Alligator mississippiensis: one gene and its partners. The protein of the gene in region 1 binds, or shares a complex with, the protein of each later gene. Links are inferred from orthologs where the notes say so. Each region holds a gene or a part of one and is shown in the gene's direction. Other genes may lie near its edges.

What was found. Proteins that work in one complex are often made in the same cells at the same time.
Region 2: AHI1 (region 1) and TMEM17 share a complex: the UniProt entries of both Homo sapiens proteins name them as parts of the tectonic-like complex. The link is inferred for Alligator mississippiensis from reciprocal best matches to the Homo sapiens genes AHI1 and TMEM17.
Region 3: AHI1 (region 1) and TMEM67 share a complex: the UniProt entries of both Homo sapiens proteins name them as parts of the tectonic-like complex. The link is inferred for Alligator mississippiensis from reciprocal best matches to the Homo sapiens genes AHI1 and TMEM67.

The regions. Positions count from the first base shown.
Region 1 is NC_081824.1:117,719,440-117,727,434, reverse strand, and holds the start of AHI1 (jouberin), read left to right. Parts: upstream 1-4,977; 5' UTR 4,978-5,129; intron 5,130-7,995. UniProt on the Homo sapiens protein: Involved in vesicle trafficking and required for ciliogenesis, formation of primary non-motile cilium, and recruitment of RAB8A to the basal body of primary cilium.
Region 2 is NC_081824.1:212,938,116-212,945,844, reverse strand, and holds the start of TMEM17 (transmembrane protein 17), read left to right. Parts: upstream 1-4,457; 5' UTR 4,458-4,575; coding exon 4,576-4,684; intron 4,685-7,729. UniProt on the Homo sapiens protein: Transmembrane component of the tectonic-like complex, a complex localized at the transition zone of primary cilia and acting as a barrier that prevents diffusion of transmembrane proteins between the cilia and plasma membranes.
Region 3 is NC_081826.1:43,994,216-44,001,505, reverse strand, and holds the start of TMEM67 (meckelin), read left to right. Parts: upstream 1-4,018; 5' UTR 4,019-4,070; coding exon 4,071-4,260; intron 4,261-7,290. Other genes in the region: RBM12B (RNA-binding protein 12B), read right to left, coding at 1-730. UniProt on the Homo sapiens protein: Required for ciliary structure and function. Part of the tectonic-like complex which is required for tissue-specific ciliogenesis and may regulate ciliary membrane composition.

The DNA.
Region 1 (7,995 bases):
CACTTGGAGGAACTGGATGCCTTTAAGTCGGCAGGCCCGGATGAGCTCCATCCGAGGGTACTGAAGGCACTGGCTGACGTCATTGCACAGCCACTGGTGGTAATATTTGAACACTCGTGGTGCACGGGCCAGGTCCCGGAGGACTGGAAAAGGGCCAATGTGGTCCCCATTTTCAAGAAGGGGAGGAAGGAGGACCCAGGCCACTATAGGCGAGTCAGTCTCACCTCCATCCTACGCAAAGTCTTCGAAAAAATGATCAAGGCTCACATTTGCGAGAGCCCGGCAGGACAAATTATGCTGAGGGGAAACCAGCACGGGTTCGTAGCAGGCAGATCATGCCTGACTAATCTAGTCTCTTTTTATGACCAGGTTACAAAATGCCTGGACGCAGGAGTAGGGGTTGATGTTGTATACTTAGACTTTAGGAAGGCCTTCAATACGGTATCCCACCCCATACTGGTAAACAAGTTAAGAGGCTGTGACTTGGATGACTACACAGTCCAGTGGGTGGCAAATTGGCTAAAGGGTCGCACCCAGAGAGTCGTAGTGGATGGGTCGGTATTGACTTGGAAGGGTATGGGCAGTGGGTTCCCGCAGGGCTCGGTCCTTGGACTGATACTCTTCAATGTCTTCATCAGCGACTTGGACAAGGGAGTGAAGTGTACCCTGTCCAAGTTTGCGGATGACACAAAACTGTGGGGAGAAGTGGACATGCCAGAGGGCAGGGAACAACTACAAGCAGACCTGGACAGGTTGGACATATGGGCAGAAAACAACAGAATGCAATTCAACAAGGGGAAATGCAAAGTGCTGCACCTAGGGAGGAAAAGTGTTCAGCATACCTACTGCCTAGGAAATTACCTGCTTGGTGGAACGGAAGCAGAAAGGGATCTTGGAGTCCTAGTGGACTCCAAGATGAACATGAGTCAGCAGTGTAACGAAGCCATCAGAAAAGCTAATGGCACTTGATCATGCATCACCAGATGCATGATGAACAGATCCAAGGAGGTGATACTTCCCCTCTATCGGGCACTGGTCAGACCGCAGTTGGAATACTGCATGCAGTTTTGGGCGCCACACTTCAAGAGGGTGGATAACCTGGAGAGGGTCCAGAGAAGGGCCACTCGTATAGTTAAGGGCTTGCAGGCCAAACCCTATGAGGAGAGACTGGGGCACCTGGACCTCTTCAGCCTCCGCAAGAGAAGGTTGAGAGGCGACCTTGTGGCTGCCTATAAGTTCATCACGGGGGCACAGAAGGGAATTGGTGAGGTTTTATTCACCAAGGCGCCCCCGGGGGTTACAAGAAATGATGGCCACAAGCTAGCAGAGAGCAGATTTAGACTAGACATGAGGAAGAACTTCTTCACAGTTCGAGTGGCCAAGGTCTGGAACGGGCTCCCAAGGGAGGTGGTGCTCTCCCCTATCCTGGGGGTCTTCAAGAGGAGGTTAGATAAGCATCTAGCTGGGGTCATCTGAACCCAGCACTCTTTCCTGCCTATGCAGGGGGTCGGACTCGATGATCTATTGAGGTCCCTTCCAACCCTAGCATCTATGTATACGTTTACATACATTGGTTGTATGCTTTCCTGCTTCAAAAAAAAGGTCTTTGAATTGAAATGTTACCATAGATCTCAGTGTCCATGACCTTGGTTGTATTACTTATGTTAAAGTTGTGCATGCTCTATATTATTCAGGACCAGTAGGTTTGAGAAAGTCTGAACTTTTGAACTACTGTCCTACTTAAAAGTTTTGAGCATGACCAGTTGGCGTAAAAGTGACAAACAGGTTTTGGCACCAAAAATTGAGAGAGAAGAGATTCACTTCCTGAGGTGATTAACCTCATGACTGGATGAAGTTTGAAAGACATATCAAAGGAGTGATTGACAGGTGTGTGTGTTGTTTGAAGGAATGATTGGCATAAATCATAAAAGTACAACTGGTATGGAAAAGTGGTGTGATTAGAGGGCTATAAAAGAGCCCGAGCCTGAGGTTCTGCACAGTTGGTGTGTGACTGGTGACGTGTGACTGAAGGTGTAGGTCTGTGTGTGTAAGTGTGCAATTAGTGTGATTCATTTGAGAGGAGTGGATGGATGTATTGGCATTATCCATGGGTTTGGATAAAAGTTGTTGATTGTTGAGTGTATCTTCACTGTGTGCTGGCAAAGCTCCCTACTAGATGTTGTAGTCAATCCCAGACTGGCTGGCTAATCACCAGTTGCTGATAATCACCACCTTTGGAGGGTAACATATTACCCATCCCTATTAAAGGAGTGGAGCCTCTGCAGGAGAGGAATACTCCTGGGAGGGAGGAGGAAAACTATATTGACTCATTATTGTGGCTAATAGAGCCTGTGAGACCTGTGCCTGCATCCACAGCATTGTTGCAAGTGTGAAGGGAGAGAGGGAGCTTTGCTCTCTGGCTTTTACTCTCTCCCCTGTAATCCTTTGGTTTCTTTCCCTTCCCTGCTGATTAGTTCTGTATTTGATGTTGTTCATTGTTGTTTGTTAATTAATACTGTGATAATAATAGTCTTGTTGTTTCTAGTCTATAACGGAGTCTGTTGAATTTGTCCAAGTCCCTTTGTCACCAAGTTAGTGCCAGGCCATAGGTTTAAATTTAGTAGGCTGCTCCATCACTTTCATTTGCTGGGTGAGTTAATTAGATAATTTGCATAGCCCAGTCAACAGAAAGAGCCTGTTTCCATTAACAGGGCATTTGGAGAGCTAAATTCCCTGGCTTCCATGGAGCCACAGATTATTTTAGCCTACTAGGAGGGGCAACCTAAGGCACATGTGCTACAAGTTTGCAGTCTCTATGTGCAGGGAGGGGCAGATTGGCCCGGGGAGGGAGACAGGCAGCACAGTGGCAGACAGGGCAGAAAGCAAAGCAGATCAGATAGAGGAAGGGAATCAGAATAGCAATCTGGGGAGGATGCAGGGCTAATTTGTGGCATGCCTGCCAAAAAGGTTGGCTTTCATTGTTCTAGAAAATTACTACAATTGCAGTCAGTCAAATAATTTATTGCATGGCTCTTTCTTCATATGACTCTAAAAAGGGATGATTTGCAACTGAAGAAATAGAATTTAGACTGAACCATCAGTCACTTGGAGGATGATAAGCTGAGTTAAGTGGCTTTGACTACTTGTGCTGCAGCTTACAATACAGACAAAAGGTGAAACCCTGTGCTCAATGAAATCATGGCCACACTAAAATCAATAGAGGTTTGGCCACTAATTTCATCCATGGATTTAATCCTTTTAACAAAAATGAATATTCATAGTTAATTGCCTACAAATTCAGACAGCATGCTGAAATGGTTTAGTAGAAAAAGAATCCTCAATTAACTTTTTAAAAAATGACTTCTTTGAGCAAAAATTGGAGAGCAGAAAAATTCTCCAAAAGTTCTCCTGCTGGTTTAAAAATGAAAACCTGAGAGTCAAGGCAACAGGGATTTGTACCAGCCTGTCACCCATCCCAAGGACAGTCAACATCAGCTCCTACTCTCCCCTAGTACCACTCTGATGCACTTCCCAATCTGCCACTCTGCTCCCTGGTACCCCTGCCCCATCTGCTGCTTTGCTTATTGCTCCCTGCCCCATCTGCTGCTCTGTACCCTGTGTGCACTGCCTTCTGCTCCCCTCCTGATCATAGAAATCAGAGTCAAAGAAGAGGGGCTGGAAGGGACCTCCAGAGGATGACCTCTGGAGGTCCCTTCCAGCCCTGAGGCAGAATCACCCCTGTCCAAACCATCCCATACAAATCCCTCATCTAAACTCTGACACATCAGACCTAACACCTTAACTTGCCACAGGTAAAGCAGGGGAACCACAGCAGCCAATGTCTGGCTTCTGTAAAAGGTTGTTAATATACACTCGAGATCTTGGGAAAGCAGCCATGGCTCTGGCTAGAGAGGAAGGCAAAAACCCACGCAGTCCTCACCAGTGTGACCATGGGGTAAAATCCCTTCCTGACCCCAAATCTGGCAATCAGTCTGACCCTGAGCAGAGGAGCAAGAAGACCCTCTAGCCAGGAACCTGCAACTTTACTCCCAGCATTGGGACTCCCCAGCCCTGGCTGTAGCTAACACCCAGCGCCTCTGAAGGAAGCTTGAAGACAAGGAACAATGGTCTCCAGTTGCAGCAGGGGAAGCTCAAAAAGAATGCGGAGAAGCTTGAGTCCAGACAAAAGCCACTCATTGGATTAGAGACCTGAAGAACAAGCGTTATGAGGAAAGGCTGACAGATATGGGACTGTTCAGCCTAGAAAAGAGAAGACTTTGGGGGGATTTGGTGGCAGCTTACAAATATATCAGGGGTGAGCATCAGGGGCTAGGCAAACCCAGTGCCCCAGTGGAAAACCCCCATCAAAGCACCCCAGGGGAAAGCCAGGATCAATGGTCATCAACTCCTAGGTTTCAGACTGGATACAAGGAAAAACTTATTTGGGGTTTGTGTGACCGGACTCTGCAACAGACTCCCAGTGGGGGTGGTGCAGGCACCTGCCCCGGAGATCTTCAAAAGGAGGCTGGACGCGCACCTTGCTGGAGTTGGTTAACCCCACCTGTCTTTCCTGGCCCATGGGGGGGCTGGACCCAGTGATCTCCCGAGGTCCCTTCCAGCCCTCAGCTTCATGAATCTGTGAAGTTCAAGCTAGACTTGAGGAAACACTTTGGCACAAGGACAGTGAAGCCCTGGAACAGGCCACCCAGAGAGGTTGTGGACCTGGGAGATTTCTAGGACCAGACTACATAAAGCCTATGTTAGGATGTTATACTTGAGGACAGCCCTGTTTTGGACAGGTCCCACTTGGACTCCATGAGTGAGGTCCCTGCCGGCGCGTGCCCATTGCAGCCTTTCCCTCCTCCTCCCAAGGCGCATGCGCTCCACCACCGCACACTTGGAAGACCCGAGCGACACTCGGCTACCGCATTGCCCCATAAGCCCCGCCTCCACTTGAGCGCATGCGCAGTGCGCCGAACGCCGTTTCCTTGGCAGCCGCTGTTGTTGTTTTCGGCGCAACTATCGTGAGCAGCCGGGGGGGACGGGCGGGAGAGACCAAGTGAGGAAAGAGGGAGACTGCGGGAAGCAGCGGCGCCGCCGCCAGAGGAGACGCGCTGGGCTCGGCCAACGTGAGTGGGGTTCCGCCCGCGACGTGGGGCCCCATCCCCAGGTGTCGGGGGGGTGGGGAGGAGGGATCCGAGCGTGGCGCCGATCACGGGCCGTGGCGACAGGGGGCTTCGGCGGTACGACCGCGACCCCACGTCCTCGAGCCGCACCGTTGCCTCCCCCGCGAGGCTTGTGGTCTGCTCCGGGGGGGCGGGGCAGGGCTCATCTGCTCCCGGTGGATGACGTCACGCGCGGCTCCCAGGGGGTTCGTTCTCCCTCATCCTCAGCACCCGCTGCGCATGCGCGGGGTACCCGCGTGTTAGGGCTTCACATGGGAGCTGCATGAGGGTGAGGGTGGGGTTGGGGGTGCTTTGAGGGGAAGGGACTGGTGGGTACTCCCTGTTTTGCGTGAGCTGCCCCCCCCGGGGCCGAGTGGAATCACCACCTGCTCTGGGTCCACCCACAGTCCTAGCCATCCTGCTGAGGTCTTGTGGTCTGGCTTTGGAGCACGTCTGGTGCCAGTGTCCCACAATCATGTTCACGCTCGCTAAGCACCGTTCCAGTGGGAGCAGGCGCCCTCTTTAAGCACCTTGTTGCCTGTTCAGCACCCTCCTGGGGTGCTAGAGTGGCAAGGGGTATCTCCTGACAGGGGCTGACTAAAAACTGCATTGCGGTCTAGCACGGTTAAGCCCATGTCCAGTGAGTGCTTTAATGTAGTATTTTTAATAATTACATTCCAGTGATTTGCAGCTGTTGCAAGTGACAGTATGTCCAGGTCTATAGCACGGTGGTTCTCAGTCTTGTTAGCCTCGAGGCCTCCATGGCAGCTCCTTGCTTTCGCTCATTTTTGGGCTACAGAAAAATAACATGTTGGGAAGGACTCAGCCTGCACTAGGTCAGACTGGTTTTAACACTGGGGATTCCTCTGTGAAATCTCTGGGTTTATCTTGTAAATCAGGGGTTTCAAAGACAGTTGAAACCCTCTGAGCTAAATTAGGCCTGCAGAGCCCTGTCCTCTTGCCCCTGCTGCTGCCTGTAGGTCTCAGACTGAAGCAATTTTGGGAAAACCCAGAAAGACCTAGAATAGTACCAAGATTCAAGAATTGGCCCTTTCCTTTTGAGTTGGTACTAGCTTGATGTCTTAATAGAGTGTTAGGAGGCACTGGGCTATCTTAAGGTATAACAACATTTTTGATCACGGAAGACTTGATTTTTGCTTCTAAATAGGGCGTGTGCAATTTGGTTAAAGTTTGAATCGGGTAATTGCATCATACCAACTAAATTCTCTCATGACCCAAATTCGATAATGGTTTCTAAATTTTCTGCTGAATAGAATTTTATAATATGTATGCTTTCACTTCATCATACACTGTATAATATGTAAAACACTTGAGACCTTCAGAGTAAAAAGTGCAACTTTTTTTACTTTAGAGTAAAAAGTGTACTGTTGCATCAGTATATATTTATACAAACAACAGTAGTTGACTTGGGGCTGCCATTCTGAAGATTTGATTTGAGCATACATTGGAAAACTACTTTTTAAAAACAGGATAGATTGGATATTGGGGAAGAAAATGGAAAAGAAATTAGGCAGGAAGATATACAATAAGCTGTTAGACTCTCTGGATGCAGACTGCTGTTTTCCTTTTATTACTATCTGTTAGGAATGTAAATCTATTCTGAAGGATTCGTAGATTGAAAGGCAGAAAGGGACCTCGGAAGATCACCAGGTCCAGCCACCTGCACTAAGCAGGAAAGATAACTGGGGGTCAGGTGACCCCCACAAGGTGACTGTCCAGTCTCCTCTTGAATACTTCCTGGGTAGGTGGTTACACTGCCTCTGGAGGGAGCTTATTCTGCAGTCTGGACACCCTGACTGAAGAATTTTTTCCTAATGTTGAGCCTGAATCGATCTTCCAGAAGTTTGTGGCCGTTACTCCTGATTTTCCCCTCAGCTGCCCTGGTGAACAGTTGCTCACCGAGTGCTTGATGCACTCCCCTAGTGTAGCGGTAAGCTGCTACCAGGTCCCCTCTCGGCTTTCTTTTCCTCAGGCTGAATGTTTTTTTCTTAATGTTTCTTTAATAGGAAGCCGTTTTCCAACATCATTAGTGCTGGTCGAGGAAAATAATATTGTCAAGATAAAAGTTAGAATTAGGCAGACAGGGTTCTTTGGATAAATTATATCTTTTATTAGACCAACTAAATCATTGGAAACATTGTTCTTTGCAAGGTTTTGGGCACAAACACCCTTCTCCAGGCATAGGGAGAGTCTGCTGTTGTTGTGTTGTGTGTTTGGATGGAATAGAAGCCAATATGCAAAATGCAGCTCTGTGAAAAAGCAAATACATGGCAGTAAGGATCAGACCAAGAAACCCATGGACCAACATAAATATCCTTACAGAACCAACAATCGCCCTAAAGAACCAAGAAAGCTGTACTATACAGCCAAGCCCTTCGATACCACCGAATTTGCACTGAGGAGGACACCCGCGATCGTTGCCTTGCAAATCTCAAAATGGCTTTCACACAACAAGGACGCTTCTCCAGAGAGAGAGATCACACTTTTGAAAGAGCCACCTGGATACCACGTGAAGAATTACTGAAGTTCAAAAAGAAAATCCCCATGAATTGCACACCTTTAGCTATGACATATCAACCCTCCCTGGAACCTACACGGAAAATCCGCAAATAATTGCAACCCGTACTAGAAGAAGAATCAAATCTTAAAGATATCTTCCCAGAACTGCCCATCCTAACCTTTAAACAAGCACCAAACGTTGCCAACCTTATTACCAGAAGCAAACTTCCTGTGGCCCAAAGCACACTGAAAGGATCCAGATCATGCCAGGGCAAGAAATGTAAAGTCTGCCAACACATCTCCACCACTC
Region 2 (7,729 bases), about 95 Mb from region 1:
CAGATCAATGCCCCCATGGGTGAGGGAGCGAGCAGGGCAGGGGCTGGGCATGATGCCCAGCCAAGGTGGTGCATGGGGTCAGGACAAGGAGCAGGACAGAACCGTGGGAGGTTCCTCCAGGGAGCGGGGGTAATGTGGAGCACATGCCCCACCAGCTTTGTGCACGGGGCAGAGGCAGATGTGGGCTGCCTACTATGGTCTCAGGGGTCCCCACCCTGCTGCAGGGGGGCTTGTGCTGGCCGTGCCACCATGGTAAGGTGCCCCCTGCCCACCTGGCAGCAGCAAGGGCAGGGGCGGTAATAGCATGGAGTTGTGCCCCCTGCTGCTGCTGGGTGGGAAGGGGTCAAGCAGCCAGCATCGGGCTCCCAGGGGAAAGGCAGCAGAGCAGGATGCCCCGAGCCCACAGCAGGCAACCTGCATCCGCTCTGCTCCTTTCGGCTTTCAGCTAGCCATGGTGGTGGCAGCAGCAGGACAGAGGAGAGGTGGACATGTGTCCTGTCTTCCCCTTTTGAAAAGGTGATCACTCTAGCCAGGCGCCTGCCCGCCCCCCTCCATTGCTCCCAGCAAAAAGGTCTGCTGGGTGCGGGCGAGTAGGTGCACACAGAGCAGCAGTTTGCAACCTGGCTCATCCCTTTCACTCCTCCCATGTTCTCAGGGTCAAGTGGACCTGCAAGGGTGGTCACTGGCATGCAAGACCCTATAGGGGCAGCCTAGGGACAGCCTCACCAGGATGGCCTGCCCTTGCCCTGAGGTACAGGCCAGAGGTTGGGAGGGGGCAGACAGTGGGAAGAGCAGGGCTCAGCCAGGTGAACATCTGCCCCCACTGCTTAAGTGGCACAAGCTAAATTAATGATTCTCAACTTTTTTAGCTACAAGCTCCCCCCACACACACACTCTCTTTCGGAGTTCAGATCTCTCAGTGATTTTCAACTGGGGTGCCATGAAATACAGAAAAGTTACAGAGGTACCTAGAGGCTAAAAAAATTGAGAAGCACTGGTATAGAAATGTATCTTTGCTTAAAGAAAGATATATTTGGTGTCATTTGTTAACAGTACATTTAACACTGGTATAATTTCTTCCTGAATTCTTTGTTTTGAATAAGAGATATATAAATATATGTACATGCACGCACCCATTTGGTGTGCCACCAATTTTAATCCATTAAAAAAGGCATCCCAAGTATCAAAAATTGAAGAAACACTAGTCTACATGTGGTATGAACTGTACCTTTGATAACAGGATAGACCTACCTTTCTTAGAATAAAGTTGTATTATTTGTCTTTCATCTTAAAGCTTTAAGGTTAATTGGCTTACCTTTCTTCTCATTCCCAGGACTTGTACTGAATCTTAGAGCTTTCAGCATTCTACAGAATTAGACCCTTGCTGCATTTCCTCATCTGTAAAATAGGGATAACAACACTTGACCAACCTTATAAGCTGTACTACATTTGCCAGCATCATCATTTTGGCAAATCCATCTACTCAATATAAGTATTTACTCCTGAGCTGGGAACCTAACCTCTCCAGAAACTACTGGACCCTCTAGTTTCCCTAAACCTGCCTGTGGCTCTCCAAAAATCCTTCCTCCCTTACATGCCTTCTGAAGAATTCAAGCAGTAAGATCCCTGCCTCCACGGGAAGCCCTTTGAGGCAAATCTGGTGTCGATCCAGCTGCTTTCACCAGCTCAAAATCAAACAAACTTTTCAAAAGTGATGTTTATGGTTTTTCTGTGTGGTTGACCTAGTGGGATAGGGGGAATTAAACTTAAAATGGATTAAAACATTCTTCTCAGTCACAGATAATTAATCTGTGAAATTCGCTACCAGCCAATATTACCAAGGGAAATAGCTTGGTAAGATTTTTTGTTGTTGTTGTAGGAGGGGGAGGGGTGCAGAAAGGAAATGGATTTGACATTTATATGACTACATTCTATAGTTACATTAGCTAGGCTAAAATTACAAGTGTTATCACTATTCATGCTGAAGGCTGTAAACTGATCTTCAGCTGTGGTCTAAGGGGGAAACCAATTACATAGTTTCATAGTTTCATAGTTTGTAGGGTCAGAAGGGACCTGAGCAGATCATCAAGTCCGACCCCCTGCCATGGCAGGAAAGAGTACTGGGGTCAAACGACCCCGTCAAGGTGTTCATCCAGCCTCCTCTTAAAGACCCCCAGGGCAGGAGCCAGCACTACTTTGCTTGGAAGTTGGTTCCAGATCCTAGCCACCCTGACTGTGAAGTAGCGCCTCCTGAAGTCTAGCCTGAATCTACCCTCTGCCAACTTGTGACCGTTATTTCTAGTCACTCCTGGTAGTGCTCAGAGGAACAGGGACTCCCCCAATGCCTGCTGGTCTCCCCTGACTAGTTTATAACAGGCCACTAGATCCCCCCCTCAGCCTTCTCTTGTGGAGGCTGTACAGGTTCAGGTCCCGTAGCCTCCTCATAGGGCCTGCCCTGCTGCCCCCTGATCATGCGGGTGGCCCTCCTCTGGACCCTCAATGCTGGCCACATCCCTCCTGAAGTGCAGCGCCCAGACCTGGACGCAGTACTCCAACTGTGGCCTGACCAATGTCGCATAGAGGGGGAGGATCACCTCGTTGGACCTGCTTGAGATGCATCTGTGGATGCATGACAAGGTGTGGTTGGCCTTCCTGACCGCGTCCCCACACTGTCGGCCCATGTTCATTTTGGCATCAATAATGATTCCAAGATCCTTTTCTGCCTCTGCACTGACAAGAAGGGAGTTCCCCAGCCTGTAGGTATGCTGCTGGTTCTTCCTCCCCAGGTGCAGTACCTTGCACTTGTCAGTGTTGAAACCCATCCTGTTCTCTTCTGCCCACCCCTGTAACCTGTCTAGGTCCAATTGCAGCCTATTCCTCCCTTCTAGTGTGCCCACATACTCATTTCTTCCATACTCAATTAGTTGTACTGAAGGACTTCACCCTGGTTCTCTGAAAACATCAGACCCTATAACATTTTAATAAGCCTTAGCAAACTGATCCGTTCCTCCTGGGGCTCCATGCGTGGTTAGTAAGGTGACCAAATTTTTAAAATAAAAGTAAGAGAGACTTTTTGGCAATTTTTAGGGCCAGGAAATACTCAGATAGAAGAAAAAAGGACACTCAAAAATAATATGGGATGGTATCATCAGACTCTAACTTGCCCCAACACAGGCGAGTGTCTCAACCGAGGGAATATTTTCTAATGCAGTCATTCACAGCACGATGTTATTCATGAAACAAGTGTCAATTTCCCTCTGAGCAAAAGAAAAGCTGGGAAAGCGTGGACACTGATTGACCCAGCTTCTTTCTCTCCTTCTTCCATTGGACTCTTCCTAATGGGCAAAGGACAAACTGTGCTCAGTGCAGCCATGCCTCCTGAACATGTATTTTGTAGTTTTTAAGTTCAGCACACTGGGGGAACAGGAACAGGACACTGAGAACAGACCTGCAATTTCCGTGGCCCTTGGGGCAGGATACACCCTGCCGCAACCCAGGAGAAGCTGGTCCCTGAGAGCCCCAGGCTCTGTGCTTGCAGGCCTGTCAGTCTTGTACCTTTGTGCTGCACTCAACAGGGCTCCTGCCTGGTTCAGGGATCATTTTAAAAGGATGGGCCTGACCCTAGACTCAAGGGGGAAGGCCCCTAGCACTAGTGTGAAGCACCGGTAATGAGAAAAGCTGCTGCACTGCCTTAAGCCACCATTGTCAGGTCTTAAATAGTAAATGATCATACTGGAAGCTCAAAATTATCTCATTTGCTGTAAAAATATCCTACACTGGGAAATACGCAAATAAGTCTTCTTCTTATTGACTTTACATTGCTCAGTATAACCCACCAGTGAGTGAGAACTGGGTTGTCAGTTTTGAAGCCCCTCTTCATTTTGAGGGAAGAAATCATAAGAAAGTGCTAACAGCAAACACAGAAGTCACTGAAGACTCCCTGAGAGTGATTTGGGTTTTGCATATGTAGCATCAATGAGCTGCCTCAAAAAATCATGCAAAAACTCAAAAATCATCCAAAATCATGTGTGCAAAAATTAAGTTTATTTCCTACCTATGGGGACTTTTTACCATCTTGTATCATCTACATTTTTCCCAGAGCCTAACGAAGGGACTTTGCTCTGAAAGCTTGCAGAAAAGGACAATTTTCTTCCCATTTTCCAGTTGGTCTAATAAAAGGTATCATTTTGGAACCAAGAGTTCTAGTCGTTTGTATGTCCTACATTTTGAACACTTTTACTATTATTGATTGTACCTCGTACAAGGCTTGAAATTATCGTGCAACTATGATAACCCGGCAACACAGCCCTAAGTGGAGGCCAGACGGGAGCCCCAGGGCCCCATCCCAAATCGGGACTCAACCCGCCTGCAGCCCCATCCCCCGGGAGAGCCAGCAGAGCTGTCGTGGCTCCAAAACTAGGTAGAACAACCGCGCATGCGCGGGCCGTCCAGCCCCTCAGGGGGAGCAGAGGCGCTAACTGGGCCACGCAATGGGGGCGGGGCGCCCGTTCTGACTCGCTTTCATGGTTCCCATAGCAACCGGGACGTTGGCGGCCTAGAGGCTCCCGGTCAGACATGGCGCTGCCGGAGCCAGTCCGGAGACGGCTCAGCAACTTCAGCCGGACTGTATTCAGCGACAGCAACCGCACCGGCCCGGAGTACCCCGACGGCGGCTGTAGCCCGGGTAAGGCCTGGCTCCCGTGCCAGCGGCAAAGATGGCGGCGGTGGCGGCACCCTCGCGGGTCGCTGCCAGGAACCAAGATGGCGGCCCAGGTGCCTCCTCTACTTCGCTCGCACATTGAACCAACGGCGCAGCCCCTCCTACACTCATTCACTCACTCGCAGGTGGAAGGGAGCCTCCCTCCCAACCTGCGAGCGAGCAGTCCCCGCGGCTGCTCAATGCCTGGGACTACAGCGGCGCCACCACATAAGGGGGCGGGGCGCTGAAGGCGGGGCAGGAACGGGCTAGCCCGTCAGAAGGGCACCGCCTCCTCCCGCTAGGCACGGTGAGCGCGTGCGCAGTGGTACCGGCTGAGCTGCACTGCCTTTGTCTGTCCTCGGGTCCTGCCAACGGGCGGGGCAGGCTTTTTTCTGCTTAATGAGTTAGATATCCAGGTTGTAGCAACATGAGGCAAAAGGAATCAGAACTCGTGGTAGAGGTGACATCTGTTGTTAGACCAACTAGATTTTTGCAAAAAAGAAAAAAAGTCTTTAATTGCAATTAAAGATAGCTTGCAAGTGAGGGATACTTTGACCCTAGCTGACTTCCTACCAGTGGGGCAGGGGGCTGGACTCGATCAGCACTAATGTCAATGAAATCTATGAAGCCTTTTTTTCCCCCCAAAAAAATCTAGTTGGTTTAATAAAAGATATCACCCCTACCACAAATTCTGAATTGGACAGAGGTACACATGGTTGGGTGTGTGTAAGTATTTACACACATGCAAACAGGCATACACACAGGTGTATATTCACACCCCTAACTTTCCTGAACTCAAGCTCTCTTCATCAGTGGCAGTGAAAGGTCTAGGCCAGCGGTTCCCAATCTGTAGTACACGTACCACCAGTGCTACACAGACACCGTGGCAGTGGTACACATTAACAGATTTATTATTATTATATATGACAAAAATTTGCTGGTGATACTTAAGGTCAAACTGAAAAATTTGCTGGTGGTTCTTAAGGTTGTATTGTTTTAAATTGGTGGTGCGCAATTTGTCAGAGTTTGGGAACCGCTGGTCTAGGCTCCTCTTCGCAGCATCTGCTAAAGTGGGGTGGACTTCAAGAAAGCTTGTTCTCTCTCTGTATAGATATACACACACATATAGAATCATAGTTACTTAGTCTGTAAGGTACATACCTACCCTGCCTTACGCCTGTCTTTTTAATTTTTTTTTAATACCAAAACAGCCTGGCTCCAGGGCTTCCAGGACTGTAGAAAAAGCACCAGAGGTAATTGAACTAGTAGTATAGGCTCAGGTCCTTCAGTAAACAGCACCGTTCCATTTCTGAACCCCCTGTACCTCTGCTGTTCCTGCAATTTGGGGGTTTTCAGGTGCTAAAATAACACAGGGAGTCACAGGCATTGGATTTACCCATTTCAGTGCTTAAATTCTCTCAGTCCCCTCTTTATAATAGCAAGCATCATACTTTATAAAGCCTGGTTCGATACCTTCCGCTTCTCCACCACCTTTAGTATCAAATAGGATTTTTTTTTTACATAAAAAATTACAAATGAAGAAATACTTTGCTGTTTGTAATACAAGGAATAAGATAGACAAATACACCCAGTATCTTACTCCGGTGCGTCCTATTGCACCCTACAGTAAGCAGCAATTAAATTAGTTCAAGAGTGGGGGAAAGAAGTTGACATTTTTGGCTACTTTTGTCAACTATTTACCTGAAACTCAATCTTAAATCCTAATCCAAGTATTAGGAATTTGGCCTAATATTGAAATATTAGGACAGGTATTTCAGAAATGTACCCATTGGAATAATACTTGGAACAACCCAGTGTAGCATAGCATCACAAGATGGTCACACAGAAAATTAAAAATCTTGGCCTCTGTCATTAATCAAAACCATTACCATTATCCATAAGTAACTTGCAACAGTTTAAAATGCCTCCTTGTAATTAGATGTTACTTATCCATTGAAGGGTAGGCTGCTGATATCAACTGATACGTTGTTCCAGTTCTGAACGGCTCTCCAGAAGCAGTTCCTTTTCTAATATCTGGAAATGAACTGTCCTGCATTCATCAGGACAGGCTGCAACTAAGAAAGCATGTTATAGCTAAGTAATGAACATTTTTTGGAGGTCTGTAGGTCATCTCCCATTCCTCCTAGTTGGAATAGTTTTTATACATAAAAATGTTGGACTATTAAACATGTCAGTCATCTTGTACCTTCTGTTTTTAGTGTAGACAGTCCCGCCTCTTTACACTATTACCTTAAAGCCTTGTCCCAGTTCCTTTACTATATTCTCCTGCCCCTCCACCTAGCTAATTAATTATCATGAATACTTCAGCATCTGATAAAAAGATTTCTGGGATATGTCTGAGAATTGAAGGTACCATGACTGCATGAGGCTGAACTGGAAACAATGATGATGCTTTCCGAGGTAGAGCAAGGACAGGTAGGAGACTGGAAGTCAAAGAGAAACTAGCCAATATTTGAAGATGGGTTCAATGATATAGTGTTGTTACATATCAGGTCACAAGTCTTAAAGAAAAAAAAAGATACAGAACTTTTGGGTTGCACATGCAGAAACAAGAGATGTTTAACAGGAAATGGAAATGAGATCATAAGAAGAATTTGGCACCTGCCCACAAATGGTAGCAAGTGCCAGTTCTTCTGAACTGCTCTTTGGGACATAAGAGAAACAGATCATTAGTAATTCATTCAGGTATTTATTGATATCATACTAAATATGAGGTAATGCGAATAAGCTTGTCTAATTAAAGGCAAAACTGTTCTCTTGTGTTCTTTTTAAAATATACAACTTTTTTTTAATACCAAGTCTAATCTTTTGAACCTGTGGATGAATTTGAACTGTTGTGGAACTCTACTATCTGCATCTTATCACAGGGCTCAAGAGTTCTGGTTTTTCAGGTTTTATCAACTAACTTCCTCCTCACTACAGTGTTTGGTTTGCAATTCCATTTTGTTTGATGGACATTCCAGTTAGATAGTTTGTTTAAAAACAACCTCCCACCACCTCCTTCCCCCA
Region 3 (7,290 bases), on another chromosome or scaffold:
ATTGCTCTGGGGCTGGACTTATTTCTATAAATCTTGAGCCAATGTATTGTTTATTACGCTTAAGTCCTTCCAAAGCATCCTTAGGTGTAGCAAATTTTACTACGCTATTTCCGTTATTCAGACCATTGCGACGCTTTATGAAGATCACTTCATCCACTCGTAACCCAGAAAAGAAAACACGTACTTCTTCTTCAGTTGCAAAGTACGGTAAACCTCTCAGAAATAAATAAAGGTTACCTGAAAGCAACTCTTTCCTCGACTGGTTATAGTTTGCTATGCTTGAATCACCATGTCTTGTACCATTGCTATGAAAGCCAGCATCTGTGTGATTTGATGGACTTTTACTCATTCCTTTTGTAATAGCCGCAACTAAATGTGAAATGTTGCCGACGCTCGAGGCACCAGAATTACTAAGACTTGTTCGTCTAGACCCAGATGTGGTTTCTCTTCTTCCACGATCAAACCTTTTCCGGCTCATTTCTATAGTATTCTGCATTTCCGTTTTGCTGCTGAGAAACAGTTCTATGCGGGAGTCCTTGATAAAGCTTCCTGAACAGCTCATGGCACGTCGTGCATCTTCATCTGTTGCAAAAATAATAAAAGCCTCCCCAGTTTCTCCTCCAATAATATGCACTCCTCCATCAGGAATATTCAATCCCAAGAAGAAACGGCGAATATCTGCAGGGCCCGCAACAACAGGAAGCCCCTGTAAACGGATGACTACAGCCATGCTGCGCTCAACTCACAGCAAAATCACCTGCAGACAAAAAGGTACACATGATAGCAAGTCTTTAGTACTCATCTATCGCAGTATCTAAGCTCTTAAACTAACACCTTTTTAATGAAAATCCCTGATTCAATCAAGCTTTATGAAATCAAGCAAGAAGCTCACAAGTTCACCACAATCATTGAATCCTGTTTTAATCTTGAAGTAGATTTAGTCAAAACCATTAGCTATTCCACCTGGAAGTATGCACAATCTGTCAATATTCCCTATCTAAAGGCAACAAGATCCACATGAGTCAACTCCTCACCATCCACGATAAATAAGGACCATCTCAAGTCTTTCTTGGCATGGCTGCTACTTGTCAGAGATGCTAAGAACCAAAGTCTTCTCTTTGTGTTAGAGGCACTTGCTATCACAGCACTGAAAAAACTGAAAATAAAAGATGAGGGGAAAAAAGAAGAAAAAAAAAACCCCTACATCACCAAAAAAGCATTTCAGTGACTGTAACGAATGTTATGCTCTCAGACAAGTTGTCTACCAACTAACCAGTTCTGCTTACAAATGCGTATATATAACAAACAATGCAACAACGTTGTCTCTCTTCTTGCAGCAGCCAAATGCATTCAGGAAAGCATTTCCTATTTCCCAGTCATAAAGTCTGTGAGAAATGGCTTTGCGTGGTCTTTTGACAATACTGAGCGAGAAATGTTAGCCTTTAGGCAGCTTACCTGGTTCTGCTTGGAAGACCTGATAAATTCTGTAAAATCAACTTAACTGTGGAAAGAAAATGAGACATAATTAATGGCTGATATCACATCTGGTTAAAATACTGTGCCACATTGCTATTGTACATCCATATCAATAGCTAATATTAACAGCCAAGCACTGTAATGAAACCACGATTTGGGTTGTTATGGAGAGGATTCCTTCCTTGTTCCAAGAGAAATACAAGTCAGACAATGTAATTCAGCAAAATGTTATGCCTTGCACTTTTGCCTGTGAATCCATTTAGAAGTAAAATATTCAAAGGTAAAGTTGCTTCTGCAAATGATGAAAACATGCCAAGATTAATGGGTCATCAATTGTGCCACACTGAACTGTTCACAGGAAACAATGGCCAATAAGGTAAAAGGAAAAACCTCTTCGTTTAGTCCTTGAAAGATGCATAAGTCCCACTGAAGATTACATTAAATGTCCAATTCTTCTGAAATCCACCTGCTTTTGAAGTGCGTGACAGAATATGCTACTCACCACCATGGTATTCTTGAAGACACATAATGAAGAAAACCATAAGACAGAGCAAAAAAATTCAACAAGCAGAAATTCCGGAGAGTACAGGAAGTTACAAATTAAACTCATTTGTATTTCCCCCCAAATACCTACTGTCCTTCAATCACAGAACCAAAAACACTACCTTGAGAATCTTAGACTTATCCTGGTCTTTAAACAATTCCTATAGCATGAAAGCCATAGACTACATAGCATATTCCCCTACAGAAACAAGGTAAACCTATGCATGGAATTACCATCATATCATTAGCAATAATAAACTCTGGCTGACAACTGTTTAAGCATACAACATTATGCAGCAAGACTTGCAACAGACCAGGGAAGAGACAGATCTGCACAGCCACCTCATAACCAGAACAGCCCATTGCTTCACCTGAATTAGCACAAAAAATAAAACCAAAAACGTTTCTGTAACTGGCAAATCCAGTGCCAATTTCTAAATTTGTTACATCCTTGTTTTGGAAAAACAGCTACAAGCTAAAACAACTGCATGTCTGAAAATCACACTTCTAGATAAAGAGCTTCCCACATCTGTACAGCTATCTTCTCAATCGATAAAATGGCAACGCCAACATGCAAGGGAAGAATTCAACAGGAAAGCCAATTTTCCCAACAAACCTTCGACTCGAAGTCAAATCCGTATGCCTGCATTTCATTTGGTGGTCTGTAGTATGTCAGCAGTTTTCTACTTCCCTTCTGCATTCCCATACCAATTATTACCCAATATTCTGTCTTCACCCCAGAATCAGCGACGTTTCTGTGACGATAACTATCAAGATCCCTGCGATACATCCCAGGCCTAACATACAGCTACTATTCTTTAAACCAGACAAAGATCACAACAGTAGTGAAACTGAAGTTGTCCCACAGATAAAAAAAGAGCCAAGTGCAGCCAATGAACTTCCACTAGCCGTCCATCCATGCAACCAGCAGCTGCAAGTGCATGCAAGGCAACAAGTGCTTTAAAGGAACGACCCAACAAAGCTACAGGTAGCTTAGAAAGCTTTTTTCTTTAAATACCTATGAACAGATCAACACTTGAGCAAAGCCTTCAAAGGAGGAGGTTGAGAGAGACCGAGCAGGAAGGGTTTTGTGAAACCCTAGGTAGCCACCGGCTCCAAGCCTAAAACCCTGCGTAGCTCAAGCTCCATTTCTGATGCCACTTCACAACGCAGGCAGCGATCTCCTCGCACGGGAACGGGGCCCGGCCCACAGTGCCACAGCCGGGCCGCCCATCCTTCTCCTTTCCGCAGCAGGCCGCCAGGACGGAGCCCCACACAGGAGCCAGCGGGGGACGCAGCGAAGCACCAGCGCCCGGGGCTGGTGTGAGAAGTGGCCGACGCCGAAGCAGGAGGTCCCTTTCCCGCAGCGCGACAGCCGCGCGCTCCTGCTGCCCGAGGCTCCCGGCTCCCGTGCGCAGCCATTGGGCTCCCGCCGCCCCCGTCCTCCGCTCCTCGGCCCGCTCGGGCCGGCTGGCGGCGCATCCCGCGTTCCCGCCCGGGCCGAGAGCCGGCGCTGGGGCCGGCGGGGAGAACAGGCCGCTCCCGCCCTCCCCCGCCTCTGGCCCTCTGCAAGCGTGGGGCGGCCGGTCGCCGAGGAACCCCGCCCCGCCCCCCTCCGAGCCAGCAGGCGACGCGGCCCAGCGCGAGCAGCCGCCTCCCGCCGCCGTACACACCGGTGCCCACTACACAGGCGCGAGGAACCGTCCCCTCACTCAGCGCCCAAGTCAGGCAGCAACAAGATGGCGCCGCCCCACACCTCGCCGCATCGCGCAGGCGCGACCCCCTCCCCTTTGACCTTCCCGCCAACAGACGCGCGAGCCTCCAACCGCTTCCCGCTAGGAGGAGGCGCGTACGGCTTGCGTTGCGTCACTTCCGGTGCTAACTGCGCGTGCGTGCTAGGTTCAGGTTTCACTACGCATAGGCGGGTTGCATCCCGGACGCGCGCAGGCGGCCTATAGGGAGCCGTGATTGCTACAGACGGCGCGCATGCGCTCCGCAGCGACGTCTGGCTACGGACCTCCCCCACCCCCGCCAGCGGGATCCCGGTCGCCATGGCGACGGCTGGGCGTTGGGCCGCCGTCGCGCTGCTGCTGCCGCTGCTGCTGGGCGCGGGGCCCTCGGCCGGGCACAGCTTCTCCCTGCCCCTGCGGCGGCCCCGCGACTGCGGCGAGCCGCGCTACTTCGACACCGCCAGCCTGGCGTGCGGGGCGTGCGGGCCGCACCAGCGGGGCAGCGCCTCGGGTGAGCGGTGAGGTGCAAGGCGTCGCCCCGCCCGCGCCCTCTGCTCAGGGGAGCTGCCGTGCGGCTGCCGGCCCCGGCCCCTGAGCGCGTCGGGGGAGCCCTGGAGATGAGACTTCTCTGGGGCGCCGCGGCTTCGAGCTGCTGGAGAGGGGAGAACAGGTCCTGCCCGGGAGGGCGCCGTAGCGGCACGGCGTTGCCGGGTCTTAAATATGAAATGATCCTATTGGAAGCTCAAAATTATTGTATTGGCTGAAAAACGATTGTATGCTGAAAATATGCACATAAGTATGTAAATAAGTCTTAGCCAGGCAGCGAGCAAGAACTGGGTCATCAACGCTGAAGCATTTCTTTATTTTGAGGCAAGCAGTTGTAAGCAGGGATCCTGTGGGAAAACGGAGAAAACAACGGATTTTCCCCTTTACCGGTGGAAAACATGGATCTCTCATGTTTATCAGAGAAACCTGAAGATTTTGCAGTTTTGCGAAGAGCGCTCTGCAGGTGGGCTGGGGCGGGTGGGAGGAGGGCGGTCAGGCAGGGGGCAGCGTGTGCGTGTGTGCGCACATAGTTGCTGGGCAGCCTGGAGAGCAGCTCCTAGGTGTAGGTGCAGGGTTGGGGGAATAGAGGCCTCCCATAGGGAGGGCAGGGCTGGTGCTGCTGTCCCAGCCGGGCAGTGCATGGGGCGTGTGGCCCTGGGCTGCAGTGTGTGGCCACAGGGCCTTGGTGGGGAGTAGCATGAGGCCACAGCTTGTCTGGCGGGTGAGCAGAGTAAGGCCAGCTCCTGCCGCTACGCACACTCCCAGGAAACAGGGAGGACCTGTGCCCCCCTTCCCCCCCCCCCCCCCCGATATATATGCAGGGTGGGTGCAGGCTGCACACTGCAGGGTCAGGCTCCCACCTTGCTGCCCTTCCCTGGAGCATCTGCAGCCCGACAGGTGCGAACCAGTGGTTCAGGGAACGGCAGGGCCATGCAGGGATCTCTTTGTTGCTGCGAGATCCGCGCTGCCCTAGTGACATGCCCTCTGCGCAAGGCAGCAGCAGGGGCAGCACCATGGCGTTGTGCCCCTCGCTGCTGCCGCATGCGCTGGGGATGCATTGCCAGGGCTGGGTGGGGCTGTGGGGGTGGCAGTGATTGGCACAAGCAGGGCCGGGGGACCGTGGAAGGAATGAGGGGCACCAGCAGGATTGGGGGGACAAGTGGCCTTTCATTTCAATCGCAGATTTTCCAGGGTGTTTTATCAGAGAAATTGCAATTTTTTTGTTTATTTATTTATTTCTTAAATCAGGGAAAACCAGGATCCTTGGTCATAAGGAAGTGCTGGCAGCAAACCCTAAAGTCAGTTGAAACTCCCTGAGAGTGACTTGGGTTTAGAATTTGCTGCATCAATTAGCTGCCTCAAAAATTATCATACATTTTGAAGACTTCTGCTGTTATAGATCGTACAAGGGTTGAAATTATCGTACAAATATGATAATTATACTCTTGGCAACAATGAGCAGGTGGCCCACAGCGACAGCATAGCCTCCATCTATGTGCAGTTGGGAGAGCAGAATAGGCAGGCACTGAGTAGGGATGGATTAATCTGGGGGCAGGGGGACAATGATTCGGGCTGGAGGGCTCTTTAGGGAGTTTTGGTGAGGTGCTGGAGGGGAGGGGAGGCAGTTGATCCTGTCCAGCCTGGCGTCCACCCTGCACCCTGTGCTGGGGGTGCCAGATAATGTGAGCAGGCAGGCAAGGTCTCCATGGAGACCATTCATTGCACTGCGTTGGACAAATGGGAGGGCACCACAGGTGGGTGGGGAGTAGTGTCGTGGAGAGGGAAGGGTGGGCAGGGCACAAGGCAGAGCCATGACCCAGTCCCTGCACATCCCTGCGATGAGGAACAGGGACATGCAGGGAGCAGATCACAGTTCTGCCCCTGACCCCACACTGTCACTGCCCTGTGATCCCAGCCCTAGCCCTGCCTGCTGATCCTGCTCCTAGACTCTGCTTCCTGCCTGCCTGCAGCCCCATCCCATCCACCCAGCTGAGCATAGCCTGCTTGTGGGGGGTCCCAGGCTGATCTCCATGGAGACCCCGCCCAGCTGCTCCATCCACCATCCCTGGCAGTGGATGCACCAGGGTGCCCAGGTAGTGGGGCTGGGTCCACCAGTGGTGACAGCAGCAGAGATGCAGGCAGCAGCAGCCTGCCATGGAGGCTGCCAGGAAATCAAGTCTGGCTTCTGTTCTGCCACTGCCCTGCCATGTGTGCCTGGGCTGGCTCCTGGGCTAGCAGGGCCAAGGAACCTGCCACAGGCTGGATAGAATCCTTTGGGCTGGATCTGGCCTGTGGCCTGTATTTTGCTAGATGACCTCAAGTCCCTTCCAGCACTGAGAAGCTATGGTTCTATGACCCTGGAAACTTTGTTGTATTATTTTTATGTAACAGTCTAGGGCAGTGGTGTTCAACATTTTTCCCTGTGGGAGCTCATGGGCAATGCCTGGTCTGCTGCTCCTGGATAGTAGTTCCTATCCAGCTCCCAGGGGCAGACACCACTGGTCCAGGAGGAGGGGACAGATTGCAGCCGAGCTCAAGCTTGGTTCTGCAGAAAGGGGAAAGAGGCTTCATGGGAGGGCATGGTTTGGTCCTGCAGGGGGAGGGGGCGTGACCCAGCCCCACCTGGGAAAAGTGGGGGCCATGGCTCAGCCCTGTGAGGGAAAGGAGTATGATTGGGGAGGCATGATCAGCCCCAGTCTGGCCCTGCGGGGGGGAAGGGGAGTGTGGGAAGGGGGAAGGAGGCATGGTCCAGGCTGCAGGGATGGTGGTGGCCTGGCTTCGACCAGGCTTGGGGATTTGGCATATTAATGGCTACTGCTTCCCCTCTGACAAATTTTCCATTTGGTGAGGAGCCCCACAGGCCAGATGCAATGGCTGCTTGGGCTGCAGGTTGAGCACTCCTGATCTAACTTCAATGATTTGAAGTTAGATCAAGACAAAACGTAAGGTGTTTGTTGTGGGAGACTCCCTCCTGAGGGGGACGGAGGGGCCAATC